Linked DNA regions of Diceros bicornis minor. The protein of the gene in region 2 purifies or fractionates together with the protein of the main gene of each other region. This does not show direct contact. Links are inferred from orthologs where the notes say so. Each region holds a gene or a part of one and is shown on either strand. Other genes may lie near its edges. The genes, in order: U2SURP, SNRPA1 and RBM17.

Region 1 (11,023 bases), on a different chromosome or scaffold from region 2:
TGTGTAGGGGTCAAATTGAGAGGACATATGGTTGGGGGCTATAAGGCAGCCATCTTCCATGTTCATTTATTATTTATTCAACAAACATTTATTGTTTGCCTACTGTGTGCCAGGCATGGTAACAGGTGCTGGGATTCAGTCCTGTCCCTGCCCTCCTGGAGGAGCAGAGCAAGCCTGCCTGTAGAAATATTATCTCTAATGTTGTCTCTAATATTTTTGTTATCACTAATATTTTGTGGACTGTTCTCTCCTAAACGAACAACACGGCATACCATGGTTTTATCACATTTAACTTCCCCTTCTAAATTATTTTTTAGCACCAGCACTAACACAATTGCTCAGTGAAACCTTGGTTGACAATAACAGGACATTAGAAAGATTTTTAATTGTAACCACAAATGTGACATGAGCACCAAGATCATGCACAGAGGTTCGCTGTGTGTTCACAGGACTCCTGCAAAGGATGGTGGGGGGTTTTGTTTACCAGCAGCAGCAGCGCCGCCACGTGGCAAAATAGTAAATGTTGTTTGCAGTCCGTTGAGCTTGCCTATGTAGAAATTACACAATTCTTGAAAAATTTTCTTTAAATTGGGGATGAGAAAAGATTCATATTATTTCAAAATTTGTACTACACGAAGGGAGACTTTTAAATCTGTTTAAAATTAGCAAAATTTGCATTTTCTTAAAAGGAGACAACATTGTGTAAAGGTCTCCATCTTGCTCTCTGAGCAGCCTCTAGGTACTCCTGGGAGTTAGCCCCAGAGGTGAACTCTTGAGAGCTGGATAGACACCTCCAAAAGTTCTACAGCATCCTTCATGAGGTCTTCCCTGACTCCTCTTACACTGTGCTCCCCCAAAACCACCTCTGATGTAGATTTCATTCATTGGCAAATATTCATTGAGTGCCTGCAGGGTGCTTACTGTGCTCTAGGCACTGCAGACACAGCAGTAAACAAATCGGATAAAATTTCAGTCTTCACTTATTACACTCTTATTGTGACACATCTGTCTCCTTTATGCCCTGTTCCTTCTCCGCCCACAGGGACCTGTCTCATCCCGTCTTCACTGGAACCACACCGCCTACCCATTGAATTCCCCAGTAACAATTTCAGAACTCAACTGATCTGAGATGACTGTATTTATTAGGACCATTCCCATGTCAGTTTTCTGGTAAGATCAAATCTGTACCTGACAGCCAGGGACAAAATACAGAAGCAGACAGTTCATTTTAGATCTGGTGGTAGGCTGAATAATAGCCCTCCAAAGATGTCCACATCCTAATCTCAGAACCTACAACTATGTTAACTTCCACGGCAAAGGGACTTTGTGGATGTGAGTAAGTGAAGGCTCTTGAGATGGGGAGATTATCCTAGATTGTTGTGGTGGGCCCAATGTAATCATGAGGGTCGTTATATGCGGGAGGCAGTAGAATTACAGTTAGAGAGAAGATATAAGAATGGAAGCAGAGGTCAGAGAGGAGAGAAGCTAGGCTGCTAGCTTTGAAGATGGAGAAGGGGCTACGAGCCAGGGAACATAGGTGAACTCTAGAAGCTGGAAAAGGCAAGGAAACAGATGCTCCTCTAGAGCCTCCAAAATGAACACAGGCCTGCTGGCACATTTTAGACTTCTGCTCTCCAAAACTATAAGAATACATTTGTGTTGCTGTAAGCCACTAACTTTGTGGTAATTTGTTATGGCAGCAACAGGAAACTAATTGATTTCTACCTGTCCTCCCTCCAGTCTGCCCTCCCCACTGCCCATTCTTCCTGGTGCACAGAACAGGACATTTCGACTTTGTTCCTTTATTTTCTCAAGTCACGGAGATGTCCTAATTTTTCTTAACACAAGCCTGTAACTGTTTCTCTAACAGGGTTGTCTGACCATGGGCATTCTTTGGCATATCACTAGGGTCCCCGAGTTTTCTATGAGAATTTAAAATTCTATATTTTCAGTTCCATGGTTAGCTAAAAAATGAATATGTAATTCAACTTACAACCCAAAAGTCAGCCACATCCTCATAAGAACACTAAAAGCATTCTCACTAAAGTCAGGAATAAGACAAGGATATCCATTAGCACCACTCTTACTTAATGTTATTTTGGAGGTACTGGCTAATGCTATCACACAAGAGAAAAACAAAAGATATATTAAAAAATATGGGAGAAGAGGAGGTAAACGTGTAGTTATTTGCAAATGATATGATCGTATACCTGAAATTCCAAGAGAAAAAACTGAAAAACTACACAAATAAAAGAATTCAGCAAGGTGGCTGGGTATAACATTAATGTATAGTAATAAATATAAAACACTAATTACTTAGGACAGATATAAATAATGGAAAAACTTATTCTATTTGTAGTAACAACAGAAAAGAGAAAACAACTAAGAATTAAGGTAACAAGAAATATGCAAAGTCGATGTGAAGGAAAGAGAACAAAACTTGAAAAAGAAGAAAGCTATGCCATGTTTTTTGACAGAAATTTCACATTATCATTACCATGACAGCCGTGTCAAAATAAAGCCTTCTGTGTTTAAGACCACTGCAGTTGGACTTCTGTTACTGGCAACCAAATGAAATTGATAAGAGAAATAGTTTTGTTTCATTTTCTTGTCATAACTTCATTCTCCACCTAGCCTTTTATATTATCTGGTCTTGTCTCAAGAGTTTTAATCTTCATGGGGATACATAGGCTCCCCACTGGCAGAAGGCAGGTCATAGATTAAGTGAGGCCTGATCTCTGGGTAGTCCAAGCCACGCCCAACTTTGGACTGCCACGCCATGGCATGTGGGGACTCCCTTGGAGATGTTGCCCTCTGCCAATTGCCATGGGCATCTTCAGTCTTTCTTTGTCTCACACGCACATACACACACACACACACACACACACACACACACACACTCATTTAGGACCACCCATTTCCACAATACTCCATCTGGACCATCCTAGGTTTTAATATCTTGTTGATATAATAATTGCTACATAGTAAGGGTAATCTTCTAACCAGGATCATAGCTAAAATAGCAATTTTTATTATTTTCAACATGTCACCAGCCCATTCTTGGGCTATGTGCTTTTTGACACCATTTTTACATATCTTTTACCTCCTGGGCATTTGTAGTTTTAAACAATGCCACCGCTAATTATTATTGTCAAAGGAATTCTAGATATCATCAGTAGATAAGTCGGGTATTTTTGTTTTGGTGAGGAGGGAAGAAAAGGGAGAAGCTGCTATTGCCACTAAAATGACTTGTCAGGCTAGCGTGGTGCGGTGGTGTGGGGCGGGCAATCGACTTCATTAGAAAGAATCTTCCATTCCACACACACCACACCCTCCTTGAAGGCTGTTCCCTATTTCTAGAAGCCGCTAGGATCCCTCTTAGCGGAAGAGCTCAGTCTGATTTTTAGCTTTCCCTCCCTCCCTCCTTATCTTCTTTCTTCAGAGCTTGGCACATGCTAGAAATTCAATAACTGCCAAACCAACAAATGGATGAGACTGTGCTTTCACCAACCTCTATCCTGAAGCCTAGAGAGCAGGGAGAAGCTGCTTAAAAACTCTCTAGAATGAGAGTGCCACCAAGTAGGAGCAGTCCATTGGCACAGTACAGGAGATTTTAGCTTTGGGCAATCATTTTTAAGGTCTCTCTCTCTCATTGTGTATATTGTTAAATGCTGCTTTTGTTTCAGCCTCTTCACTCCACCTTTTTTTCCTCTTATTTTAAAAGAAATTAAAACATTTGGGAGGCCTCTAAAATTACGGTGGGCCCTAGGCAATGAGCCTTCGGTTCCTAATGGATAAGGCAGTTCTCTTTGGTGCCTGGGGGACTGATTGTTCAATGTGTTGATCATCACCCCTGGTAAGACTTAAATTCTACAAGAGATGTAGAAAACTCAAATGCTTCCCAGCAGGCGGGGTGTGGGGCATTTGTCCACTGTGTGTGTGGTGAAGGCCCTTCCAGAGAGGTCACTGTGACTCACCTCCACTGGACTGTTGCCAGACTTCCCCATTTTTCAAGAAAAACTGGAAATCCTGAGTATAAAAAAGTAAAATCTCTCAATTTTAAAATACTAGCCAAATCAAAGAAAAAAATTTCCCTGCTTGAGTCAAACAAAATACCTCTGTGGTCTGCATCTGGCACTACTTGGTAATCTCTGCTGAACACAGCTGCAGGGAGGACCCTCAAAAACTGGTGACATGTGGCGGACTAGAGAAGCAACACATCAGGGAGAGAAAAATGGCATGGTTTTAGTGTGATTGTAAAAAAGTTAAACTAACTGTGGTAAATTGTATGATTTTCTTGCTATTTATGTGTAGTCCCTTGGGAATAGTTATTGTGAATCTAATTAAAAATCTCAGATTCTGTAAAATTCCATTTGTACTATATTCATGCTATCTCATCCTCCTTAATTTTTGGTTTGAGTAATAGGGCCAAGATTTCATGACTTATACGTATTAAGGAGAACTCTGCTCATAACCTTGATTGTGAGTTTCTAAAAGTGTATTTAATTAGGTCTTAATAAAGCCCTATGTATGACTGGTAGTCAGGTCACGTTTGTCTGACTTCCTTTGGGGTTTTAGCGTATGAAAAAGAAGAGAGGGAAGAAGTCTGTGTTCCTTTATTTTTAGCTCTTTAGGGGTAAACATTTAGTAAAAAGTATTTTTATGAGAAGTAGGACTTTAGGGATTTGAATGAAAAGCATGCATATATTCACTTTACAGTGACAGTCAGCCTGCAGCATTGCTAGCACGGACAAGGCACAGCCAATCCTCCTCCTTCCTTCATCTCAGCTGATGGTTTCACTTTCTAATCCTAGATTGTAAACAGACAACTAAGATCCAGTGTGATGAGCATCCGGAGTGGGAAAGTATAGGTTCCTATGGAAACAGAAGCAGAGTCTCTAACTTAGGCTTGGTGGAGTAGGGAGGTCTGAAAGTCCTCTTGGAGGAAGTGACATCTTCAACAAGAGTAGAAAATTGATTAGCCTTCAGAGGCCAGGACAAGGGTGGGAGAAAAGGCCCAGAATTGAAAAAGTGTGACAAGATCTGAGACTGGAAACAAATTCAATTGGACTGGAGGTTGCAAAGCATCATTCCATTTTAATTTCAACGCATAGCACTTGTCACTTTCTGATCATTTCTTGTTTGTTTGCTTACTTATCGTGTGTTCTTCTACCCCATCCTCTCACACAGAACAGACCCCCTACCTGCTGATTCTTCAGTGCCTGCCACATATGACTATTAATCTTCCCTGAGGGCCTGCCACGTGTCAGATCCTGCTTAAGTGCTTCCCTCACCACCATCCCAACCTCCCCTTCCCTGCCCTCCCACCAGCCAACAGACAAAATTTTACTTCTTTAGAGTTGGCTCAAATGCTTCCTTCTCTGTGAAACCTCCCCCATCTCATTACCCAACCCTACCCTCAGAATTAATTACTTCTTCAGAGTTCCCACAGCTATCGATCCTTCCTTGCAGGATCAATTTAATTCTGCATAGTGTTATTTCCCTTGTTTGTCTCCCCCATTCTGCATTAAATAATTTGATTTAAAAACACATTGATTTTAAATCAAATGTGTTTTTATTTGTCTGTAAGTCTCTCAACACTTTGGGCAGGCTTTTATACACAAAATGGGGCTCAAAAATATTTTGAATAAATGAATTAGAGAGAGAAGGTTATGAACCCTTCTTCTTTCTTCCTTCCCCAAGTCCCCAGAGCAACCTTTTAAAACTTCAAATCTGACCACATCAAAGCCCTACTTAACCCTGTTGAAGGCCACTCTTCATTCTCTGAGTTCTAACTCATAAGCACACTGGTAACCTCAGGGCTCGTGTGATCTTGCTCCCATCCACCTCTCCAGCCACGTCCCTCCCTACACCTGGTCTAATAAAACCTGACTGCTTATGGTGCCTGCAGAGTGGGCTGTACGGACCCATGCCATCAAGCTTTTATTCCAACTACTCCCTCTGCCTGGAATGCCTTTCCATTATCCTTGCCTGGCTCGGTTCAGGCATGACCTTCTCAAGTAAGCTTTCCTTCTTTGAAGACAGATCCTATTAAGAACTTTAAAAAAGTTCTAAGTACAGAAAAGTGTGCGGTGCTCCCCTCCATTTACGTGTTTAAAAATGAAAACAATACTAAACTGTAAAACGTAATTCTTAAACGATACATAACTTACGCGTTTGCTAGATTTAGAAAGCCACCTATTTATGATTTTCTCATTCACCCTCTCTCTGCAGGTACCCATTTTGTAGATGCCCCAAACAAGAGTCTATCGGATCTCCCCACTGCCGGAATCTCAGGCTGAGTCAAATACTCCTCTCCGCTTGCCGGGCACAACTCTATCTTACAGTGACTGGAGCAGATGGCAAGTTTGCCCTTTTCACCAGGGCGTGAGCTCCCGAGGCGGCGCAAACACCGTCTTTGTCCCTGGAGAGCCGGACCCTCCAGTTGGCTCCAGACTTATCTTCGGAGTTGAAAAGCTTCCCCCCAGCTGACCAGTGCATTTCTTCTTTAACGACCCGTTCCCTCCTCGCCCAGGAAAGAAAACTGGCTCACCCCCATCAAGAGTTGGCGCTGGGAAAAGAGTGAAGTATCAGCGGCCCCCCAAAGTCAGGACGACGACATTCTCTAACTTCCCGGGTCCAGGAACCGAACCAACAACCGAGACACCCACGGAAACCAAGGGAGTGGGCGTGGCCTGGGAAGGACTGACCCCGGAAGTCACGTGGCGCAGCGCCGCTCGAATCCCTCATCTCCGCAGTCGACTATTCAGCCTTGCAGGCGCCTCCGGCGGGCTCCGCTGAGATCCGCTCTTTCGGCGCTCGACTCGCCCGTGCTGCTGTCGCCGCCGAAGGAGGGGCAAAGCGCAAGATGGCGGACAAAACGCCAGGCGGATCTCAGAAGGCCAGTTCAAAGGTAATTTCTTAGAGGACTTCGTAAGTCAGTGAGTCTGTCACTGTCGTGTGGGGTCTACTGACGCTTCTGGCCAGCGGGAGGAGGTTGGGGTGGGCGTCCGCGTTCCGGTCGCGGCGGTCGGCCGGGGCGCCGCCGCACGGTGGTGCGCAGGTTGAGAGGCCTGGTGTCTCCCCTTCGTCCCGGCCTGGATTCGGCTCGAGACCGGCGGGCCCGGGGGGTGGGGTGGTGGCGTGAGGAGTTCGGCCCGCGCTCGGCACTGGAGTGAAATCGGGGATTTAGATCGAGGCCCGGAGCCGTGAAAACGCGCCCGTGTGTCTCGGCTTATTGCGCCCTGGGGCCGCCGGACAGCGCCGGGGAGAGGCGGGAATCGCTCCCTGGTGCTCATGGGTCTGTCTGTCTGTCCTCGGTTCTTTGGTTTTGGATCTCACAAGCTTCCGGCCTCTCTCGATTTCCCTCACGCCCTCCAGGGAATAAATAACCTCTGGGGCCGCGAGTTGAGAGGCAGGGACCAGTGGCGGAGGGACGCGGGGTGGGAAGTGCAGAGGCGGGAGCAGCGCTCCTTTGCGGTGCTGCATCGCCAAGGTTAATACTGTGCTCTCCACGTGGTCTCACCTCGCTTGAGAGCAAGCGTAAAGCGGGCTCTTGTTTTGAGGGCTCATTTTCGAGGACTCCTGCGTCTCTATGTTGCGTGTTCCACTGAAAGGAGAACTTCCGTGGACTTGGAAGCCACCTAAAATTAGCAAATTGCTTTTGCGTTTACAGGGAACTGTGTGCACGTATTGTGAAACCATTGAGCTGTAGAAGTAGTTTAGTGTTAGTTAGTTGTGGTTACTATCAGGTCTTAGTTGCTATCTTGGGCGGGTCATTTAATCCTTTTTTGCCCTGTTTCTCATCTCGAACACGAGATTAAAAGTAATAGATACTGTCCGAAGTAGGTGTTAAGCTTTTTCATGCAGATGCAGGAAGTTTTGTGACACCTAAACAGGGACTGTTACATCTTAAAGAGTGTGTATGATTATAAGTCGGTTCTTAGGAAGTTAAGTTTACCGTAGAAGGGGCGAGTCTTGCGTTTATAGTTTGTTCTGAGAAACATAACTCATTTTATATTTGCTTTTTCAGTTTCTAATAAATCATAATTTGTACGCCGTTTGGTGAATGATATTCATAATTAGTTCGTAGTTAGTAATGGCTTTATCAGACATCCTTTAGTTATGTAGAAACTATGGTTCAAGGCCAGTTTTGGCTGCTTTACATCCTGTGTCTGCTCTTTGTTAGTTTCTTCCCTCCCCAGTACATTTCCCCTTGAGGAGGAGGGGAATAGTTGGGTACCTCTCTCTGCCCACTTCCCCTCAACAGACTCATGACAAAAACAGCCCTGCTTACTATTAGGGAACTATTACAAAAGCTAACTACATCCATAATAATTGACGCACAAGCTTCACAACTTTTGTTTCTTCTCAAAGTAATATTTTAAGTATCTCCTATTTGAGGCCTTGGATACATTGAAAACCTTTTAATATATGTGTTGTCTTCCTTCTTTAGTACTTCTCATGGTTGTGTGTGGCTGTTCTCTATAAGTGAATTGTTGGGTCTTGCAGTAATCTTTTCAGTTTATATTGCTTTAGATTATCATCAGTTGATGCTATTAAGAGATTTCCTGGGCCGGCCGGTGGCGCAAGCGGTTAAGTGCGTGTGCTCCGCTGCGGCGGCCCGGGGTTCGCTGGTTCAGATCCCGGGCGCGCACCGACGCACCGCTTGGCAAGCCATACTGTGGCGGCGTCCCATATAAAGTGGAGGAAGATGGGCACGGATGTTAGCCCAGGGCCAGTCTTCCTCAGCAAAAAAAAAAGAGGAGGATGGCAGATGCTAGCTCATGCCTGATCTTCCTCACACACACACAAAAAAGAGATTTCCTACTGATATCTGTAAAAAGAGAATATCTCAGGACTCAAATGGTATTGACGTGACTTTCTCCATTAATATGGAGGATACATGATGCAGTAGAAAGATTATGGATTTTGATAACAAACGAGATTTGGATTCAAGTTCTGACTTGGCAATTAATTATATTTGTGATATTAAGGCAAATTGCTTAAACTCTTGAGCCTCAGTTACCTCATTTATAATATGGATATAATCCCTTTTTTACAGGATTGTTATAAGGATTAAATGAGTTAGTGTCTTAGTTTCTTTCCCTTCTCCTTTTTGTTTATAGAGGAAATAAAAAGTACTTTTCAAAATATCAGGATAAATTCTAATCTTGAGATTTAGAATCGAAGTCATCAACTATCATAATGACTGCCCAGATTGTTGTTTATTTCTAACACAGGTCCAGAAATTATTGAATAGAGTCTTAAGATGATTTTGACTAATACTACAGTATTTGGAATTTCTAGCCTTTGATCTCTGTGATTTGATTTCCCTTCCTCTGAGGAGAGCAGATGAATGACATATTCTACTGTACAGATGGAGTGAACAGATTCTTCTGTTTCGTGTTCATTCTTCTTCTTTGGTAATTAAATCCTCATTGATATAGGTAGGGATGCTTGTTAATCATATTTCTAGACACCGAGGAAAGTGTTAATTTTAAAATGTGCAATATACAAGATTTTTGCCATTGACAATGGCAATATTATTTGACGTGTCTTAATTATAAAATAGATTAGATAACCTCTACCGTTTCCTCTAGCTTTAAAAATTACATTTAATGTATTTATAGCCAGATGACTTACTTTTATGAGTAGCTGTCCCCGATGAAGAGAGGCCGGGCCCTTTTATTTTCTGTGTAATTTTGCTGTACTTTTCATTTTAAGGCCTGGCAAATGTAGAAATTCAGTAAATGCTTTAGGAATGAGCTAAAATTTTCCTATACATTTATTCTTGTTTATCACCAGACTAAAACATTACTTTGGGGGACAGGGGTGTTGGTACCATGTTGTAGCTTTGATTTGGCGACGAGAGACAGAGAGAGCCTATAACTGTTTGCTTAGAAATTTGTTAAACATATTTCTTTAGAATTTAATTTATAAAAGTTAATTTATTATTTTGATTTTAAGAGTTGTTTTGTTTGCTTGCTTAGTATAATGAGGATATAAGGGAATGTGGTATTTTCTTTCCTTCTGCATCTCCTGTGCTGGTAATACTGCTAATATAATTGAATTGTGTGCCCTGTTACTTCGCTCTGTGACAATGCTTATTTTTTTACCATACAGTCAAAAATTGCGTTAGAGAGATAAATGAACAAAGTAGAAAATACTGCTAGCTTCCTTGACATGCAGTCAGTGCTAAATTGGTTTGGGAACTTTTTTTCTTTGCTGAGGACAATTCCCCCTGAGCTAACATCCACTGCCCATCCTCCATTTTGTATGTGGGATGCCACCACAGCAAGGCTTGGTGAGCGGTTTGTAGGTCCGTGCCCAGGATCTGAACCCACGAATTCCAGGCCACCAAAGAGGAGTGTGCAAACTCAACCACTACGCCATGGGGCCAGCCCTCAGAACTTCCACTTTTTTGACTGGTGCTCTTTAGAAGCTTGAGTATTTGCAGCACTGGTGCTTGACTATGACTATTGATATGGTTAAAAAAATTCCTATCTTATTGGATTGAATTGTTTTCTGAAAGTCCAGTTTTTATTTTCTTTTGATTTTTTTATTCCCGAAGCTTTCTTTTTCCTGGAAAGTTAACCTATAAAAGATACCCGTTTGCCTTACTGGCAAATGAGAGGAGGGCTCATTTGGTTTGCAAGTTCAAGACTCCTGCCTCTCTACCTCATTTTATAGAGCATAATTTTTTTGTGTGTGTGTGAGAGGAAGATTAGCCCTGAGCTAGCATCTGTTGCCAATCCTCCTTTTCTTGCTGAGGAAGATGGGCCCTGGGTCAACATCTGTGCCCATCTTTCTCTACTTGATATGTGGGATGCCTGCCACAGCATGGCTTGACGAGCGGTGTGCGGATCTGCGCCCGGCATCCAAACCTGCGAATCCCATGCGGCCGAAGTGGAGTGTGCAAACCTAACTAACCACTGCGCCACCGGGCCGGCCCCCAAAGAGCATAGTTTTTGAAATAAAAATAAAAACTTGCTACAGGATGTGAAACTTGAAAACACTAATA
Region 2 (10,296 bases):
TATCAAAAATCACATTGTACACTTTAAATGTATAAAATTTTGTCAATCATACTTCAATAAAGCTGCCAAAAACAAAACAAACAGAAGAAAAAAATGGTAACTTTTGTTACACACAGATACACATACAAACTATATAAAACGTAACAATGATGTCTTGATAGGTTTTTTAAAGACTGAAGAAATACATAAATTGGGGGGCACACTAAAATGTTTAAGGTTACTGTATTGTTTAGGAGGGTAGAGGCAGTGGTTAGCTTTAAACTTTGATAAATATGTACTTTTAATTCCTAAAATGCTAATAATATAAATAAAGTAAATATTATAAAATATTAGAAGAAAAAATGGAATGACAAAAAAAAGAGAGAAAGCAATAAAAGAGAGAAAATGAAATGCAGAATGGGTGGAACAAATAAAAAGCTCTAGAAAAGAAAGAAGACAAACTCAAATAGATCAGTAACTAAATTAAATGTAAACAGACTAAATACTTCATTTAAAAGACAGACTTCAGACTGGATTTAAAAAAAAATCCTATCATATGTTGTTTTCAAGAGACAAATCTAAAATATAAGGTATAGAAAACCTGAAAGTAAATTTTGGATGGAAAAAGATTTATCATGCAAATACTAACCAAAAGAAAGCTTGTTTTGGTCTATTACAGAAGATAAAATAGACATCAAGGTAAAACAGCACTAATAGCGATAAAAGGGTCACAACATAATAATAAAAAGGTTCAGTTCACCAGGAAGTATTAACAATTTAAAATTTGTATATATCAAATAATATATATATATATATATATATATATATCTATATATCTATCTCAAGATATATAAAACTAAAATTGACAGAACTCCAGGGAGACTGTCAAATCCCCAACATAGGAGATTTTAACACACCTCTTTCAGTAACTGATAGGACAAATTCAGTCTTCATCTTTGCAAACAGCTTTAAATACAATTACAACATACATAAAATCCATACATAAACAGAAAATACATAAACATAAAAATACAAACAGCCCCTATAATGCCACACATTCCCTATGAATGTGCATTTTGGGTTGAATACCTCATATATCTCAGAAAGGACACGGCCTCACACCAGTGCTTTCTTACTTTTGAAGTCAAGCACTCCTTTCAGAATTTGATGGAAGCTATGGACCCAGTCTACTAGGAAAGGAACAACGAGGGAAAGAGAGAAGGGAGGGAAAGGCATAATAACCCAAAACCAAGTTATATAACACGGACTTAAACATCCAGTGTTTAAGTGAAAAATTCAGGTTACAAAACAATATACATTATGAGCTCAATTGTGCTAAAAGTTATACACACAGAACAGAAATTTAAAAAGCATAAAAAGAAATAGGTCAAAATAATCATATCCAAATAGAGAAAATGAAACTTGCCCCTTATCCCATAGGAAAACCAATCCCAAGTGGATCATAGATCTAAATGTGAAGAGTAAAACAATAGGTTCTAGAATAGAATGGTCTAACAAAATTTAATGCAGGTCACATATGTAACTGAACATTTTCCAGTAGCCATAATAAAACAGAAAAAACAGGTGAAACTAATTTTAATTAATTATTATTTAACCTATTATCCAAAATATTATCATTTCAATATCAATATAAAAAAAATCACTGATAGTTTACATTATTTTTTTTGTATTAAGTCTTGAAATCTGACGTGTATTTTACAGTTCTGGTACATCGCAACTCAGAGTAGCCACTTGTGGCTAGTGGCTATCACAGTGGAGACTACAATTCTAGAAAACAACATAGAGGCAAGTTTTTTTATGACCGTAGGGTAGGGGAAACATGACAGAACATTAAAAGCACTAGCAACAACAACAAAAGACTGATGAATTGGACTACAATTAAATTAGGAACTTCTCTATCAAGATACCCTAAGGGAATCAAAAGGTGAGCTACAGAGTGGGAAAAGATATTCCCAATATATGTAACCAAAAAAAGGCTCAGATCCTGAATTAAGACAAAGACAAAGAAAAAGGACGATGAGAAAATTTTCTGGATTTTCCAAATTTTCTATAAGAAGCAGGTAGTACCTTTAACTCCTCTCCCAAATACATTTTTCCCCTGCTGAACTTACCAGTTCCACAAGACTGTTGTTGGTGAGAATGAGTTCTGTCAGACAGGGCAGAGCCTGATCAAGTCCCTCACCTATACGGCTAAAATAAAAACAAAAAGACTTAGTGAAAGAGAAAAGTAAGTAAGCTAACAATTGTATCTAAATCCTTGCTCAGAGCATTTGACTTCAAAGTGAGAAGAACTTTAGAGATCTTCCTTCCAACACCCTATCTGACAGAGGGAAAATAGGAAAACAGGCGCAAAGAGGAAAACTTGTCTGAGGCCACATGGTTGGCGACAGAAGTGGGATGATTTGAGAACCCAGGCCTCCTGAAAGTTGCCTGGGGCTCCTTCCACTACCACACTGTCTAGTGAAACCTAAAAAAAGGAGAAACTCCCGCACAGAAGAAACTACTTAGCTCACTTCATGACTTCTGTGCAGGCAGCACAGAACTACAAGTGATTCTGCATTCACAGCTCTGGTACAAGACATACAACTATACCATAAGGAATAGTTAACCTATGAGAAATATGTCTATTCAAAAAAAGTAACTCACCACCCAGTATTTCCTAAAGACATTGTCTACAGACCTTCAATAATTTTTCTCCGATAAAATCTACACAGAGATGACGAAAGAGGGTCCAAAAAAAATCTCAATTTCAATAAGAATTCTAAAAATCAGCTCTAGTTAAAGAAAAACAAATGGCAGAGGATATAAGGTAGAAAGAGAAGCTCAAAAATATAACTGTTGAACTTTATATATCTTTTTAATATGATCCCTTTGATAACTATAATCATTGTTTTAGAAATCAAAATGTACAAAGCAGTATGTTTTTAATTTAAATTTGAAACTTACCATGAATATATAAATATACAAGATTTCTGAATAGATGCAAGGAAGATTAGACCAATGCTAAGTTAACCTCTGGATCTGTATGGGAAAAGTGCAGCTCCTTTCTCATTTTAAGAAGAAATATGTAGGTTTAACTGGCAGTACGTACGACAATTTCTGCAGGGAACACTGAGACAAATACTCTAGGGGGAAAAAATTACTTTCCACTAGCAAACACTTACCATATCCTATTGTTGTTCACTAATAATGTTTTCAGTCTTCTCAACAAAGGAAAACCATCCAGTTTCCTGATTTCATTGTCAGAAAAATCAATAGCATCAAACTGGTCTAAGGTAGCACCTAGATTTTCAATGACAGGAATTTTATACCCTGTAAAATGGAGGAGAAAAAACACACAAGTATTAATATAATTGAAGGTACCTTAAAACATTAGCAGTATTTCATGATAATTTGATTCAAAGCTTTCATTTATTCAGAAAGTGTCTACCTAGCACCTATGCCATGTCAAACACTGTGCAAGGTACTGGCGCATAAAATGAGGAACAGGAGAGTCACAAGTCCCAGCTGCCATGAAGCCTACACTTTAGCACTGGACATGAAGATGGTGATGACAACAATGACAAGGGCAATGATGATGAGGATACTTACTAACAGTCATATTGGTAGCTAACATTTGTAAGAGTATTTACACGGTGTCTCACACTGTTGTAAGCAAGGCCCCATAGCCAGCTAAGCGGTATAACAGGAATTTACACTGTGCTGCTTATCGTCAGTGTCCAAGCCTTGTTCGTACGTTGTGGGCAACAGTTCTCAACCTCTTTTGCATTCCCACATGCGAGATTCATAGAATTCATCAGGATAGCCTCATGATGTCATGACAGTTCCCCCTTACTTCACCTCTCCCCAGCTCCAATCCAGGATTGAAGGTCAACGGTTTATACACAACAGTAAATCACCCTGAGAAAAATTCACTCAAATACTCACTGATTTGTCTAATATGGGCATAATTATTGTGCCAGGTGCAAGAGAAGAAAAGAAATGAACCCAGCCCAAGTTCAAGTACACAATTCAGAGTGGTAAGGGCTACATCCAAGTGACTGCCACACCAAGATAAGCATCCTCAACACTCATGCACTTCAGACTTCGATGGCAAAGATCAACCTGTGCCAAGACAGCGAAAGCGGTCAGTTACCCTCGAATTGAACCTTTCTCTAAGAAACTTAATTTCAACAAAATAAAAGCAGTGGGCTTTCTCAGCAAGGGATCCAAGCAGAAAGCAGAGCTGCATCAATGCTGCCCCTGAGACCGTGTTGTCCCCATGGGAGCAAACCTCAGGCCAAGCTTGTACTATCTTATCCCCAGACAAGTTGCTTTTCACATCCTTCCTAAAGTCACCTCCTGAAATGCCGATTAGATAGCTGCCTTCCCAGTTTCTCACCAAGCCTTACTAAGGTTCAAACAGCTACAGGAATCCAAACAGTTCGGAGAGCTTCCGCCAATTACACCCGGCACTCGGTAACGCAAGCCTCGTGAAACCGTTCACTCCATAAAATGTTTTGATAAAGGAAAACACCAGACAAGTGAAGCTAAGAAGGAAATATTGGGGAAACAATCGCTTTTGTTCCCGACGTTCGTTTTCTCCCTCGTGAATTAGAGATAATCAACACGTATTCTAGGTATACTCTCACAATATCACTTGAACATATTTACTGAGACCAACCACGCGCTCAGCACTAGAATTACAACCACTAACATCAAGTATATCTTCCCTGTCCTCAAGCCACGCGAGGCCTGACTGAGGCCCGCGGGTAGGGATCAGGAAGCAATCTACTCGCGTGTGTGCGAGAAGGAGCGAGGGCTAAGAGGAACCTCCGAAGTGCCCAAGGCATGGTCTTCGGGCCACAACGGCAGGATTCAAGCCTGGGCGGTCCAGGGGCAGGCCAGCTCGGGGGCGAGAACTCAGGCCCACGGGCCAAGCTCCGGCCCTCGGCGCACGCGGCGCGGACCACGGGGCCGCGCGCGGAGGCCGGGGGACGGCCCGGACTCACCGCGGAGGTCCAGCTCGCGGTCCCGCACGGCGTTGGTGTACTGCGCCGCCTGCTCGATCAGCTCCGCCGTCAGCTTCACCATCCTGCCACCTCCGCTCCCGCTGTCCCGGCCGGCCCGCCGCCTCCCGCCAGACAGCCGTCCCGGCGTGCCCCGCGCCCCGCCGCCAGGCAGCACCAATCGCAACCGGCGCGCGCGCGGCAGCTCGACATCCAGGCAGAAGCAATCGAAGAGCCACGCCCCCGGGCTCATTCCTCAAAAGGTCCTGGCGCTGTGGGGCGTCTGTGGATTTGGCGTCTTTCCTGCGGCGTATCTGGAGTCTGGAGGGCCTCTGATTCCAGACATTCGTGTCCTCTAGTTACGCAAAACGTGGAAGCACCCGAGGGGAACTTTCACATACATCAGTGCACCTTGAGGTGGGAGGGGAAGCTGCGTCTGTCCTCTCGCCACCCAGGAGGGGCAGGCGCCCGTGGGGTCCAGTGAAGAGTCCAGGACTTCAGGTTCACGACCTTGTCCTGGGCTTTGACCCCTGGGCTGTAACGTGAGAACTTGGGCTGGGTCACCCGCTCCAGGCACGGTCGAGTTTGCGGTTAGGTCTGTGGTCTCTAGGCACTTAAATATTTATACTGAAGCATGGTGTACAGAAAAGTGCGCACATCAGAAGTCTGCAACGTGACAAATGACAACAGAGTGAGCACACCTGCGTAGCTGCCGCACGGGCCCAGGAAAAAACCCCAATGTTTTGAAATCCTCCCTCCCTCCCCAAAGGCAACCGCGAATCCAAAACTATAGACTAGTTTTGCTGGCTTTTGATGTAAATAGCATCACGCAGTATGCTTTTGTGCCGGATTTCTTTGGCTCAGTATTATGCCTGGAAACTATCCAGGTTGCATTCCGCAATGGTATATTTTCGCTACCGTATAGAATTCCACTGTATATTTTACACCATAACTTATCCATCCTGCTGTTGATGGACGTTAGGGTTGTTTCCAGTTTGGGGCTATTCTGAATAATGCTGCTATCTATAAATTTTCTTGTACATGGATCCGATGCACATGTGCCTGAGTATCTCCAAAAGTGGAACTGCTGGGACAGAGGGTATGGTATCATCAATAGGTAATGCCTAACAGTTATGCCAAGAGGCTAAAATAATTTACACACTCTCTAGCCGTGTGTAAGGGTTGCCATCGCTTCCAACCTCAGCCTCATTGGCTTTGTCAGTCTTTATAATTTTATCGGTTCTGGTGGGTGTGTAGTGGTATTGCCCTATTGCTTTGATTTGCTTTTCTCTAATAACTAATGGAGTTGAGGATCTTCTCATGTGTATATTGTCCATTCTGATATCTTCTTTTGCGAAATGCCCATTCAAGTCACTTGCCCATTTTTTTTTCTGTTGTCTGCCTTTTTCTTGTTGACTTATGGGATTTCTTTATATACTCTGGGTATGAGTACACTCTGTGGCTAGCCTTTCACTCTTTTTTGGAGGGGTTAAAATTGCTTAGGTACCAAAGAACTCACAGAGAGTAGAGACACTGTCCTCATACACATCATCAATGCTGCAAAACACCAACTGTAGTCCATTTTGGTCTGCATAAGATAACATCCTATTCCTAAAATCACAAAATTATAACTGGGGCTGCAATTCGAATCAACAGTGTAAGAAATATGGTCCAAATGGTCCCACTCAAGAAGAGGCATCAGAGGAAGAGCTTCTTAGCTCAGGATGCCCTACCCACTGACAGTGTCTTTTGCCCTCTTTTGTGGGGGACAGTTTCACTATGGTCATGGAGGTCTGGGAGAGGAAAGGGTTTTCTGCTTACCGGCCTTTCCACTCTTAATGGTGTTTGATGACTACAAGTTTCTAATTTTTATGTAGTTCAATTTATCTTTTCCTTTATGGTTTGTGGGTGTGTGTGTTTGCAGATGTGTCTTGTTTAAGAAATCTTCCCTCATCCTTCAAATGTTTCTCTATCTACTAGAGGCTAAATTGTTTTACCTTTCACATTTAGCTCTACAATCCACCTGAAATTGATTCTTTTTTAACTTTGTATTGAAGTATGATATACATACAGCAGAATGCAAACTAAACACACCAAGCAACTGGCATCCAGATCAGGAACAAGGCATTGCCACATTCCAGAAGCCCCCTCTTGTCCTCTTCCAGTTACACCCTTGCCCCAGAGTAACCACTAATCTAACAGCTTGCATAGATTGGTTTTGCCTAGTTTTGTATTTATGCAAAATGAAATTGTACCTTATGTATCTCTTGCTTAATATGTTTGTGTGTAGATGTAGTTCATTAATTCCCATTGTTATATAGTATTTCCTTGTGTGAATATTCCACAGTTTATCTAGTCTGCTGTTGATGAGCATGTAGTAATTTCCAATTTGGAGCTATCAAAAATAGTGCACCTATTAACATTATAATACATATCTTTAAGCGAACACATATACTCTAATACAGACTCGGAAATGGAATTACTGGTTCATAGGGTTTACTTGTGTTCAGCTTAAGTAGCTAGTTTTCCAAAGCGATTGTACCAATTTACACTCTAGATATTTGGTATTGTTTCTCTCTTTTTTTTTAAATAATTTTATTTATTTTTTTCCCCCAAAGCCCCAGTAGATAGTTGTACGTCATAGTTGCACATCCTTCTAGTTGCTGTATGTGGGACGCGGCCTCAGCATGGCCAGAGAAGCGGTGCGTCAGTGCGCGCCCGGGATCAGAACCCAGGCCGCCAGCAGCGGAGCGCGTGCACTTAACCGCCAAGCCACGGGGCCGGCCGTTTCTCTTTTTAATTTTAGCCATTCTGGTGGGTTGGTAGTGGTATCCCATTGTGGTTTTAATTGTATTTCCCTAATTACTAACACAGTTGAGAACTTTAAAAAATATATTTATTGTCCATATATAAAAAATATATTTATTGATAGCTTCTTTTGTGAAGTGTCTGTCTAGGTGTTTTGCCCATTTTTCTTTCTTTCTATCTATCTACCTACCTACCTGTCTGTCTGTCTGTCTGTCTGTCTATCTATCTATCTATCTATCTATCTAGTGAGGAAGTCAGCCCTGAGCTAACATCCGCGCTAATCCTCCCCTTTTTGCTGAGGAAGACTGGCTGTGAACTAACATCTATTGCCAATCCTCCTCCTTTTTTCCCCAAAGCCCCAGTAGATAGTTGTATGTCATAGTTGTACATCCTTCTAGTTGCTGTATGTGGGACGTGGCCTCAGCATGGCCTGAGAAGCGGTGCGTTGGTGCGTTGGTCCGCCAGTAGCGGAGTGCGCGCACTTAACTGCTAAGCCACTGGTCCGGCCCCCATTTTTCTAATGAGCTGTCCTTTCTCACTGATTTGTAGGAGTGCTTTATATTTTTTGGATATGAGTCTTTGTGAGAAATATTTACAGTGAACATCTTCCCTCTCTCTGGGGCTTGCCTTTTCACTCTCTTAATGGTGTCTTTTGATGAACAGAAGTTCTTAATTTTAATATAGTCTAATTTCTGAACTTTTTCCTATATGGTTAATACTTTTTTAGTCCTTTTTAAGAAACTTTTGCCTACTCAAAAGTCATAAATATTTTCTTCTAAAAGCTTTATTGTTTCACCTTTCACATTTAGGTTTGCAATCTGTCTGAAACAGATTTTTGTGTATAGTCTGAGGTAGGGATCAAGATATATTTTTCCCCATATAGATAATCAGTTGACCCAGCACTATTTATTGAAAAGACCATCCTTTCCCCACTGCCCTGCCACCTTTTTCATAAATCAAGTGTCCGAATATGTGAAGGTCTGCTTCTGGACTAGCTGCTCTGTTCCATGGGTTTAGCTGCCTATTCTTGCATAATATCTTACTGTCTTTCTAATAATAAGCTTTATTTAAAAACTTGATATTTGCCTCAAAAAAGGGCTCCCACTTTTTTTGAGATTGTCTTGGTTATTATTGCCCTTTGCATTTTAACATAAATTTTAGATATATCTTGTATCTAAAAAAGAACCCATACTTTGATTTATATTGTACTGGCTCTATAGATGAATTTGGAGAGTATTAATATCTTTACAATATTGAGTATTCCAATCTATGAACATGGTATAACCTTACATTTATTTAGATCTTCTTTAATTTCTCTTAGTGTTTTATAGTTTTTGTGTAGAGGTCTTATACAACTCTTACTAGATTTATTCTAGGTATTTAATAGTTTTTGATGCTGTTGTAAATAGTACCTTTGGTTAAAAAAATTCCATTTTCTAATCATTAGTTTTTGGTGTATTGAAATACAGTTGATTTACAGTTGAAATACAATCGATATATCCAGCAATCTTGCCAAATTCACTTATTAATTCTAATAGTTTATCTGTAACCGTTCTTTTGGATTTTCTACGTACATAACCATGCTATCTGAGAATAATGATAGATTTTTTTCTTCCTTTCCAATTCTTGTACTGGTTCTTTATTTTCTGCCCCGTTGCACTGGCTGGGATCGTCAGCACAATGTTGGACAGTGGTGATAGTGGACATCCTTTAGCAGGCATCATCACTTCATAGCCAAGGGAAAAAAACCTAATCAAGTGATCAAAGTTAATATCACCCCTAATGGAACAAATGAAAATCCTGTATCACCTAATAGGATGCAATGAGAAGAACACAGCATTACTTCTGTGAGATTCCTCTCAGAGATGCATGACTTGAATCGAAATATGAGGAAACCTCAGACAAACACACACTAAGGGACAGCCTAAAAATAACTGGCCTGTAGTCTTTAAAAGGTTCAAGTTCATGCAAGTCAAGGAAAGACTGAGGAACTGTTCTAGGTTGAAGAAGACTAAAGAGATATGATGACTAAATGCAAAGAGTGATCTAAACTGGATCCTTTTGCTAAGGGCATTATTGAGACAATTGGAAAAACTTGAATCCAGTCAGAGAGATTAGATGACAGTAATGTATCAATGTTAATTTCCTGTTTCTGATGGTTATGTGGGAGAGCTTCTTGTTTACAGGAAATACCCTGTAAAGTATTTGGGGGGTAATAGGGTATCATATAGGTAATTTACTTTCAAATTGTTAAGGAAAACACTTCTTTCTACTGTGCTTATAACTTTTTTGTAATTTTGCTTTGTTGTTTCAAAATTAAAAAGTTAAAACAATCCAAACTTCACTTAATTCCAGAGAGGACCACCAGGTGGCGTCCTTAGACCAGAGAGCTGGTTTTACTTGGCCCTTTTCTTGCTGGATTAAAAAAAAAAAAAATGTTTATCTGTTGATGGGCACCGAGGTTCCTTCCAAGTCTTGGCTATTGTGAATAAATGCTGAA
Region 3 (10,567 bases), on a different chromosome or scaffold from region 2:
ACCACGTCTTCAAAGTTTTGTACGGAATCCCGCTGGGTTCCGCTTCAGAACCTATTTTAATCCACGCTCTTGTAAACTCCGTGAAAACCTAGAGCCAGTTTGTTGAGTTCTTTGCTCTCTCCCAGACTATCAATGACTGACCCAGCGCTGACTAGAAGTCAGGCCAACTGCACAGTTAACACTCGATTTGCAAACCCCTCCCAATCCATCTTTTCAGAAATTTCTGGCCAACAATAACTTTGGCTAAAAGGAAGACCGCTGCACCAAAGAGCTCCAGAGGCTTTCCTGTACTTTTCTCCCAGGCTGCCTGGTATTCAAAACTGATTGTTCTTATCTAGACATATCCTTAAACTTTAAATTTAATTTGAAAATCTCAAACAGAGCAATGGCAAAGAAAAACAATGCTGAATGTCCAGATTATTGTGGTTCCCAAAAAAAAAACCTACTTCAGAAATGACTGTGCATCTTTCACCTAACCTAGTTTAATTTTTTGAGCCCTCTTCATTCAACTGGTCACCAAACCGAAGCCTAGGAAATTACAGGTTCATTTGTTCTCCCTCTTTACTCTTATAAAGGCATGAGAAGACTCACACATTCTGGGAAACAAACAAACAAAGCTTTCTGGGAAATTATAAACAAAGATAAGTCATCAAAGCTTGCTTACAATCCAAACTCCACTTTATTTCTCCCAATAGCTCTTCATAAGAAACTTGAGAATTTCATCAAAAAAGATATTTACCAGCATGTTAGTGCCAACGGAACTAAGGTAACCAAATGCCCACTAAACTACAAAGGGAAAAGATTAGTTTATTCATTTTTGCACCTCCAATTTCTGGCACAGAGTAGGCACTTAATAAACAACTGCTGAAATATTAATAATTCAATAAGATCTATTTAGCCCCATAAATCAGCAGTGAAACTACACAATGCCCACAGGTTCCAACAGAAAGTTAAAGGGTAGGCAACAGGTTCTGGAGACAGATGGTAGAATGGCCGCACAATGTGAATGTGCTTAATGCCACGGTACTATACACCTAAAAATGGTTAAAATGGCAAACGTTACGTTATGTATAATTTACTACAATAAAAAAAATAGGTAAGAGGGAGGGGAGAACCACTGCTGGGGAGGGGGTGTGAGGTAACAGGTTGCTGTTTAATTAACACTAGTAGATCTCTCTACCCAGAAGAGGAAACTCGGACAGAAATATTTCCCCAAATTTCAGAGCTAAAAAAATTAAGCAGTACAGAGTTCTGCCTCCAACAGAGTTCTTTCACCTAAGAATTCAATATTTAACAAAGATTTCAGCGCTGAATTAATGAAGTTTCATGAGACCATACTTCCTCTGATTCCATTTCATTTCTAGATTGAAGATGGTTTGCTGACAATTCCATTTGCTTTACCTTGCTCTGCAAGCTTGGGAAATCATTATGCAGCAAAATCTTATGTTTAGTTAAAGTTCCTGTTTCTGTTCTCAAAATCTTCAAAAACACACTTCAAATATTAGAAACTGATGTTACCTTATCAGCATCTGCTAGTTTTCAGTAATGCAGAACTTATAAACCAGATCTCTGCATCACAGTAAATGCAGACGAGCTTTCTTCACTTTTCTTGTTTTCACCGAACTTCAAATTCACAGAACTGTATTAATCAGAGCAACAACACACTCGTTATCCATCCATGCATGTATGGCCTGCTTTTAATTATCTGCTACAATGCTACAAGCACCAGTGAATTTGCCACCCAAACAAGAGACAGGATCTGGGCAAGAAACCACACTGACCCCATATGGCCCCCCATCCCGTTCAAGTGATTTCCCTGCCCAGGGGTGAGCAGCAACCTGAACCCCATTCTCACGAATGCTTGCTTTCCTCCTTTCATACAATTTCATTTACATAGCTTTATTGCATCTATTCTTTGAAAGGCGTGTATATATCTTTTAGCCGTTTTAAGCACTTATAAATACACCATAATTGATTCATTCATTCTCCCCACTGCAACCACTGAAATGTAACAAGGGCATTGACAAGACTCTGCCAGGACCTGAACTGAACCTAATTAATGCTGGGATGTCACTTAGATGATCTAACACATTTATTTCACGAAGTCTGGAGCCAGGTAATAAAAAGTAGCACTTTCTAACATTTGGATATACTTTAAGAGGCCAGGATCGAACACAAATACAAACAGCTGGTTTTCATAATTTCTTTAAAATACCTGCTCACTACTTACTTTTTTATGGTAACACTACCCTTTGATCAACACATCTTTCATATATGCTCCATTTTTTTTCTTAAGAAGAAACACAGTAAACATGGTCCTGCCAGAAGAATGATGACTTTCCAAGATTCTACCTAAGCTGGCAGAGTATTTTTTTAAACACATGCAACTGGCAGAAAAAGAACATGGAACAAGTCTTCTCAGAAGCACCCCACCTACTCATCTCTCAAGAGCATCTCTGAAGCCTTTGGTGACTACCACCCCCACATAAAACTATGCCCCATTTGTTTCCCCTGAACACACTCGGATCAGAGCAACCTTCACATGTTATGCTGCCTATGGCTGACACGTCTGTCTCTTACTACATGATAAGCTCCTTAAAGCCAAGGGCTGTTTTTGTCTTATTGTTGTATCTCTAGCTCAGCATCATGCTCGGAACATTGCAAGCACTTGATATTTTCTAAACTTATCAGTGATCGGATGGAAAATGTTAATGCACCTCCTTAAATCACATTATTATAAAACAATAAGATATCCAGATCTGTCTTTTAGGGACATAAGTTATGGTAAGTGGGATTTAATAAGTATGGTAAACATTAAATTGTATACTATAAATAACAGAAGAAAAACTACTACCACCACACAACTAATAATGAGTCGAGGTCTGATTTCTCAGCACCTAAACAGCAGGCTTGGTAAGAGCAGAGCTTTTTACCACTAAAATGATAATTCATGTATCATAAAGCGAAAATGAAGCCTCAAGAATATGGGAAGTATATGCAGACACAAAGGAGCAGGAAGGGAACCATGAGGGTCAATGCACGTTGATGTTCACCAAAAATACAGGTAATAAGAGGCATCTGCCTCATATATAAGATTTATAATGACTTTTGAAGGAATTAAAACATCTTTCCCCCAAAACCCTGACACCCTTGTCACAGTTTAGCATTTCCACCCATTCTCATAGATTCTATGATTACCAAAATACCTTAGGCTGGAGTGTATTGCAGACAAAGTCCACAAGAGTCACCTGTAATCGAGGTGTGTAACAGAACGTCCTTCACTATTGACTACTAGGAAAGACTTGAGAGATTACCAGCCCTGGATCATCTGTTCTCTGAAGGTAATTTAAAACAAACCAGGTAAAAAGAAATCCACTTTATAAAGTTACATTTGGGAACGCACAACAACTCTCCCCAAATTCTTATTTTCCATAAAGGCTATTTTTAGTTATCACAGTACTCCACAATCAGAATAGCTCTGCCCTGATAACACTTCTATTACACCCTGTTATCTTTTTCTCTGTTTCACAATCTACTCTATTCTAAACTGTACAGCATGCAGCACATTTCTTAATAAAATTCTAAAAATAAAACACCCTCGGTTTAAGTTACTAATATATTATCCCATAGTCCCTAAATATCCTTATTATAGTCAAAACGTCTGCTGTCTTTACCCCCTAAAAATGTGGAAACTCAGTTGCATCCTTTAAACACTCCACTTGTTGCCAGGAGGCACAGTCCCCATCTACCTGAGTACATGCAGCATCTTGCCCTTACCCAGAATATCCTATTTTCCATTCCTATGCTGGGTTCTACCAGTAAGTACCTTCAACGGTTCTCCTTTACTGACTTCTCAAAGAACTTTCTTGATCTGACCCGACTACCCCTCCTCACACCTCTCTCTGCCTTACCCGCAGTTTCCAGGATGCACTACAGTGCTTCTCTTCTGCTGCCTTGACACTTATCTCCCCTGCCCTGCAGGGAACCTTTTCCCCATCCTGCACATCTAACAAAACACCTCCAAAACTCAGTTATAAGCATCACCCCCTCTTGGAAGCCTTTCCAGACTCCACTCTAGTCCCTTAGATCAAGGATTTCTATGCTTGTGTCCCTAGAGACTAAACTTCGAGAGCAAGGACAGAATCTTATTTCTCTTGCATCCGCTGTCCATAACATATGATCTGGGCAAGAGGAGATGCTCAAAAAATGCTCGATGACTGGACATGAGAGCTAAACCCCGCTCTAGAAGGACAAGGACCGAAGTAACGCCGGAGTCGTGTCTCCCTGCAGGTAAACCCCGACTCGGAGAGCTGTCAACCTCTGGAGGCCCCGTTCTGCAGCCGGGGAAGGAAGTGGCTTCTTCCCTCCCCACTCCCCGGGCCCCGGAGGGGAGCAGACGTGCTGGGCCACAAGTAATACGGGCCTGGCTACCGTAGGGACCGAGCAACTACTTCACAACGGCACCAACAGAAGGGAGGAGAAAACGTCCTCGGGTCCAAAACGGACGGAAACAGACGGACGGGAAGGGAAAAATAGGAAGGAGAGAGGAAGAGGGAGAGGGAGAGGGCCTGGGGACCCGAGGCAAATAGACAAGAGCGGCGGCGGGGCGCGAAGAGAAACGCGAAGGGTCGGCCGGGGCCTGGCTGAAGGCCGAGGGCGCCAGCGGCCGGCACCTCCCGCCCCCTCGCGGCGCGGCCTAAAGCCTCGGCCTCGCGTCCAGCGCCGCCCGGGGAGGCGCGCGCCCCGGCGCCCCGCCAGGCCGCCCGCCCCGGCGCCACTTACCCGGGCCGCCCGGCCGACTCTCCCCATGGGCCGTGGCGGCACACCGGGGCCGAGGCGCCGCGCAGGGGGCGGGCTGGGCGCCCTCGGAGTGACCCGCGACGCCGGACCCCAGCCGGCGCCAACTCCTACGCCGAGTCCGCGGGGCGCGCGCGGCGCGGGGTCAGGGGGCGCGTGCGGCCGGGAGAGAGGCGCTCCTGTGCCTGCGCCGCGGGCGCCTCGTCGCCGCGCCGCCTGCCGGCCGGAGGACCACACTGCACCTCCACTCCGCCGGCGTCCTGCTCTGCCGCCAAGAGGTGTCGCGGTGGCGCAAGTTTGTGAAATTTCAGACTCGTAGGAGAGCCCGGCAGTGACCCCAGATGGTGAGGACGAGAAATGGTCCAAGGCGGCAAAGATCGTCTTTGGGAGCCAAGTGCGTTCTAATAGGAGAGAGAGGGAGAATCCCTCCTAACCCTTCGTTCTCATTCATTCAAAACCATTGATCTCTATGCACAAAGCTGAAAACAAATCCCCCGAGGCGAGATGAACGGGAAACTGCTGCAAAAGAAATGGCAGCAAGCATTGAATTAAGTGTACGACTAAGAAAACAGTAGACATGGAGTTTAGGGTGATAGAAAAAACGTAAATGTTATAAAGCCTCACAGTTTAAAAATGATATAACAAAAGTTGGGAGGAAAAGAGAAAATAGGATTTCGTGTAAATATGATTTTCACGCCTGTAATTGGGGTTTAAAATATTTCAAGCTGATAAATAGTAGAGATTTAAGTATACATGTTAGTACAAAGGAACATGCTAAGAAACAATATAATCAACTAAAATCTGGTGATTATGAAAAGGGAGGAAAGGGAGAAAAGAAAGAAATATGGTAGGTTGTCAGTAGACAATCTGAAGAAATAGATGATTAGGACATCAAGTAATATTATCATTATTATGGTAACCCAGAACAAAAGTACAAACCTTTCAAATTATCAAAACACAACTATAACAAACTAAACAAAATCACATAGTGAAATATGAAAAAGCTACAAAACAGAAAGCATAACAAAACAATATGACAGAACTAAGACCAAACATCTTACATGAATAAATGTAAATGAGCTAAATTTATCTATTTTAAAAAATAATACAACTTCAGATTGGAACAGAAACTATAACAGAACTCTATGTTGCATACAAGACAATGCACAAAATAGAGGGATTATCACAGTCTGAAAATGCAAGACTGGAAAAGGTATACCAGGAATATACAAGCATAAAGAAATAACAGATCACAAACTTACTATTACACAGGGTTGATTTCAGAGCAAAAAGCATTTAATGAGATTAAGAAGAGCATTTTATAATCACAAGAGTTAAAATTCACAGTGAAGAAAAAAATAGGAATATCTATGCACCAAATAACATAATTTCATTATTCACAGCAAACACTAGAGGAGATATAAAGAGAATGAATAGTCAGAAATAATTGTTGTAGTCCTTGCCAGATTAAGGTCATAAATGATAACTGAGGATTAAGAAGATCTAAAAATATAATTAATATGGTTGATCTAATATATCAAACTCTGTACCCTGAAACAGAGATTACATCTTTTTAAGTATCCTTGGGACATTCACAACAATTGGCCACATTTTAGGCCACAGAGAAAATCTTAATATATTCCAATAAGTGGAACCATATCGATAATATTATCTCATCAGAATTCAATAAAACTAGAAATTAATGATAAAACAGAAAATAAAACATTCCTACCCCTTGGAAATTTTTAAATGCTTAGACAACATTTGAATCAAAAAGGAAAACAAAAACAAATAAATAATACCTAGAAAAGTGTGAAAATGAAAATGACATATCAGAACCCATAGGATTTAGCTAAAATAGTACTAAGAGGAAACTCATGTTTTTTTTTTTATAATTTTATTTATTTATTTTTTTCCCCCAAAGCCCCAGTAGATAGTTGTATGTCATAGTTGCACATCCTTCCAGTTGCTGTATGTGGGACGCGGCCTCAGCATGGCTGGAGAAGCGGTGTGTCGGTGCGCGCTCAGGATCCGAATCTGGGCCGCCAGCAGTGGAGCGCGTGCACTTAACCACTAAGCCATGGGGCCGGCCCCAAAACTCATGGTGTTAAAGGATTATATTAATTAAAAATTTAGAATAAACTAAATAAATTAAGCACCCATGCAAGAAGTTAGAAATAGAACAAAATAAACCTTTGACAAGCAGAAAGATGTAATTAATAAAGATAAAAGCCTAAATTGATGGTATATAAAACAGAAAAATATAGAGTTAAAAAAATAAATCCAAGAGATGATTCTTTGAAAATAAATAGGTGAGCTGTTAATTAAACAAGAAAAAGGGGAGAAAGCACAAATGTACAAAATGTGGAATAAGAAGAATTAATTCCAAATACAGAGGAAAGTAAAATTATCTTAAGAGATGACCTTGCTCAGTTTTATCAAATAAGTTGGAAAATCTGGAAGAGACAGATACTCTTCAGGACAACATAATCTCTCAAAATGGACTTTAGATGAGTTATAAAATTTAAACAGACCAACTATCACAGGAAAAATTGGGAAGAAAAGCCAAGAGCCTTTCCAAAAGAGCACCAGGTCCAGATGTTTCCGCAGGAGAATTTTATCAGACCTTTAGGGCCAGTGAATTCTGATGTGCTGTTCCAGAGCATAGAAAAAGAAGGAAAGCTTCAAATTTCTCCCATGGAGCTAGCACAGTAGTGACACCCAAGTACAGCCCAAAGAAAACTGTAGCCCATTCTCACTTATGATTCTCAGTGCAAAAATCCTAAATAAAATAGTACAGCATCAGGACAGAAATTCTCAGTCCTAGAGTAAGGTCATTCCCCGGGCTTTGGGGATCAGCTCTAGGTGAGAAGGAGAACGTTCTGGCAGTAAGACAACGTGCTCAGGGTTGGAGTGCTGGGTGCAGTTTTGGAGGAATCAGTCCTGGCTTCGGAGGGTTTATTTCTGGGGTTGGCTTGGAGACTTGGGTTTGTGGAGTCAGCTCCATTTTAGAGGTGAGGATTTCCAAAGCAGGGGCATCATTCCGGGAGGGATACCCAGATTGCCAGTTCAAACGTGCTCAGGCTTAGGTTCAGGGTCATATGTAGACCAGATTCTCAAATTTAGGCTTAGCTGAGGAATCCGAAGGCTTCTTAAAGGGCACTGCTGCTACTAGCATCCTGTGGTTGACCACACAGCATATCAGCCCTGGCTGAAGGGAAGGGGGGTGGGAAAAATTGAGACATATTGAAGAATTTGATAGAGGTAACACAACTAGGAAGAGAAAGTCAGGGTGTGAACGCAGGGTGCGTACAACTCTAGGGAGCATGCCCTTCACAGGGCAGCCTGGGGGTAAGAAGACGTGCAGTGACTGGTAAGTTGAAAGACTGAATTCTCAGTGGAAGGAACTTTGTTTTAGACACAGCAGGCGGTGGCTCAACCCAGCAGGAGATCCAGATCCCATTGGAGAGAGACAAGGTAGACCCGTGGCTGTCGCTCCACCCAGTCTGCAGCAGGAGGTGAGTAGACAGATTATAGGACATGGCACTCATCCCCGGGGTCCAGAGACCTGGTGAACAGATGAAATAGACATGAACAAGGTTATTTGCCCACAGGCTGGGTGAATTTTGGAAGAGAACACAAGCTGGACCCATGATGGTCTACGCACTTATCAATGCAGCCCACCAGCCGGCCAGCCATTCTCTCCGTGCTTTCATTCTTCTTCTTTTTTTATTTGCAGGTCTGTTATTTATTCGAATGCAACTGCAGGACCATGCAGGTGCCAGCTGAATAAGTAAGCATTGCCTGGTGTCTTAGTCCGTCCACACATGTCAGAAGGGGCAAGGGAGCTCTCTGGGGGGGGGGGTGGGTCTCTTTTATAAGGGCACTAATCCCATTTATTAGAACTCCACTCTCATGACCTAATTACCTCCTAAAGGCCCCCACCTTCTAATACCATCACTTTGGGGATTACGATTCAACATATGAATTTTGGGTGGACACAAACATTCCATCTATAGCACCTGGTATTTTGCAGAGTATGTTAGATGGAGCAAACCCTGTAGAAATCAATTGATAAAGACTTAGTGCTTGAAGTGAAAACTGAACCTGACCATTAGCAGAGAATGGGAGTGATCTGCAGCTCAGGACTTGGAAGTAAGAAAGCCAATCTTCCCACTCCACATCCTACAAGACAGGCACCAAGCAAAGATCTCCATAACCCAAGAGAGGCAGATTTGTACAAGGAAACGGGCTATTCTCTTAGCTGCTCTGGTTAAGCAACGCTGGCAATTTTTTGAGCGCTAAATGCAGAACCCTGATTGTGTAGGCCTTACTCTTTCCTTATATTACTGGCATGTTACTTACATTACTTCACTTTAATCCTCATGTAGCATGGTGTAGAATTACACCATAAAAATGGAAATTCCCTATGAAAATTGTTTGAGCAAAAAGCCGTGAGAGTGTCTTAGTCAGCTGGGGCTGCTGTAACAAAATATCACAGACTAGGGGCCTTAAACAACAGACACTGATTTTCTCACAGTTCTGGAGGCGGGAAGTCTAAGAGGCAGGCGGATTTGGTTCTTGGTGAGGGCCAGCTTCCTGGCTTGTAGGCAGCCACCATCTTGCTGTGTGCTCACAGGGTGCAGAGAGCTCCGGTCTCTTTCTCTTCATATGAGGACACTAATCCCATCTTGGGGGCCCTGTACTCATGACTTCGTCTAAACCTAATTACCTCCCACAGACCCCCACCTCCTAATATCATCATATTGAGAAGTAGGGCTTCAACACATGAATTTGAGGGAGACACACACTTTTGTAGTCCGTAACAGAGCGAGAAAAGAGCCACACTTCTCGGGGGCTCCGGACGCTTCTGGATGCTTCCTTTTGAGGGGAGTGAGGGAGAAGTAGGATGCGTGGGCTGCTCTCTCTGTCCTGAAGTCTGGTGTGGCCAAGGTGTGGGGGCTGAAGTCCCAGTGGAGACTTCCAGTAGGGAGACAGGGCCAGGAGCGGCATGGAAGTGAGTGAAAAGAAAAGATGTTAGCCTTTTCTCTCAGCAGGAAACACTGAGGAGGGGGAGAGACGCCCATACTGGAGTCTGAGGAAACTTTCCACGTGAAACACTGTGTGAAGCGCTGCATTATGCCCTGAAAAGGAAGATACGCTAATATTTACCTTTTTTGGGTCAAAGTTTCTCTGGTAGGGTCCATTGGCCCTTTGTTGCCTCACACATGCACCGGGTGGGGGAGGGGAGGGAGTGTAACAGTCAACAATTCTGTGCAGATGTAGTATTATCTCCATTGCACAGATGGCGCTGCATGAGGTGAAATGACTTTCTCTTGGGGCATAGTTAAGCAAGTGACACAGCAAGGACGTGAACACACACCTGATTCCAAAGTGAATGCTTGGTTTCAGCTAATGCCAAGAGAGAAAGGAGGCTTGGGCCAGGCTTAGAGGCAGACTTAAAATGTGGTTAATGGAAAGGAGAGGGGAAGTCATTCTTGAAGTAGGATATGTTCATGGAACATTTAAGAAATAAAATGAGTTTCCCGAGTGCCTCTGATAGTTTCTGGCTCTCTACCAAGCTCTGAAGGAGAAATGGCCCAGAGAGCAAAGACAGAAGGTGTCTAGACCGGGTCTCCCCCCCACCCCTGACCCCACTCCTCCTGGATCTAAGCACAGGTGGGTGTTCAAAAGCCCTGATTATGAGGCCCAGAGCCTTTGGGACTCTCCATGTGGAATCTGCTGTCTACCAAGCCTCCCTAATTCTCTG

What was found.
Region 1: the proteins of SNRPA1 (region 2) and U2SURP purify together in Homo sapiens (affinity purification with mass spectrometry; 5 studies listed by BioGRID and IntAct, with this or other methods). This does not show direct contact. The link is inferred for Diceros bicornis minor from reciprocal best matches to the Homo sapiens genes SNRPA1 and U2SURP.
Region 3: the proteins of SNRPA1 (region 2) and RBM17 purify together in Homo sapiens (affinity purification with mass spectrometry; 5 studies listed by BioGRID and IntAct, with this or other methods). This does not show direct contact. The link is inferred for Diceros bicornis minor from reciprocal best matches to the Homo sapiens genes SNRPA1 and RBM17.

The regions. Positions count from the first base shown.
Region 1 is NC_080741.1:10,940,779-10,951,801, reverse strand, and holds the start of U2SURP (U2 snRNP-associated SURP motif-containing protein), read left to right. Parts: upstream 1-6,759; 5' UTR 6,760-6,868; coding exon 6,869-6,913; intron 6,914-11,023.
Region 2 is NC_080744.1:80,358,376-80,368,671, reverse strand, and holds the start of SNRPA1 (U2 small nuclear ribonucleoprotein A'), read right to left. Parts: upstream 5,123-10,296; 5' UTR 5,074-5,122; coding exon 4,992-5,073; intron 3,313-4,991; coding exon 3,165-3,312; intron 2,191-3,164; coding exon 2,112-2,190; intron 1-2,111. UniProt on the Homo sapiens protein: Involved in pre-mRNA splicing as component of the spliceosome. Associated with sn-RNP U2, where it contributes to the binding of stem loop IV of U2 snRNA.
Region 3 is NC_080775.1:7,288,159-7,298,725, reverse strand, and holds the start of RBM17 (splicing factor 45), read right to left. Parts: upstream 4,874-10,567; 5' UTR 4,783-4,873; intron 1,623-4,782; exon of another isoform or gene 1,519-1,622; intron 1-1,518. UniProt on the Homo sapiens protein: Splice factor that binds to the single-stranded 3'AG at the exon/intron border and promotes its utilization in the second catalytic step. Involved in the regulation of alternative splicing and the utilization of cryptic splice sites.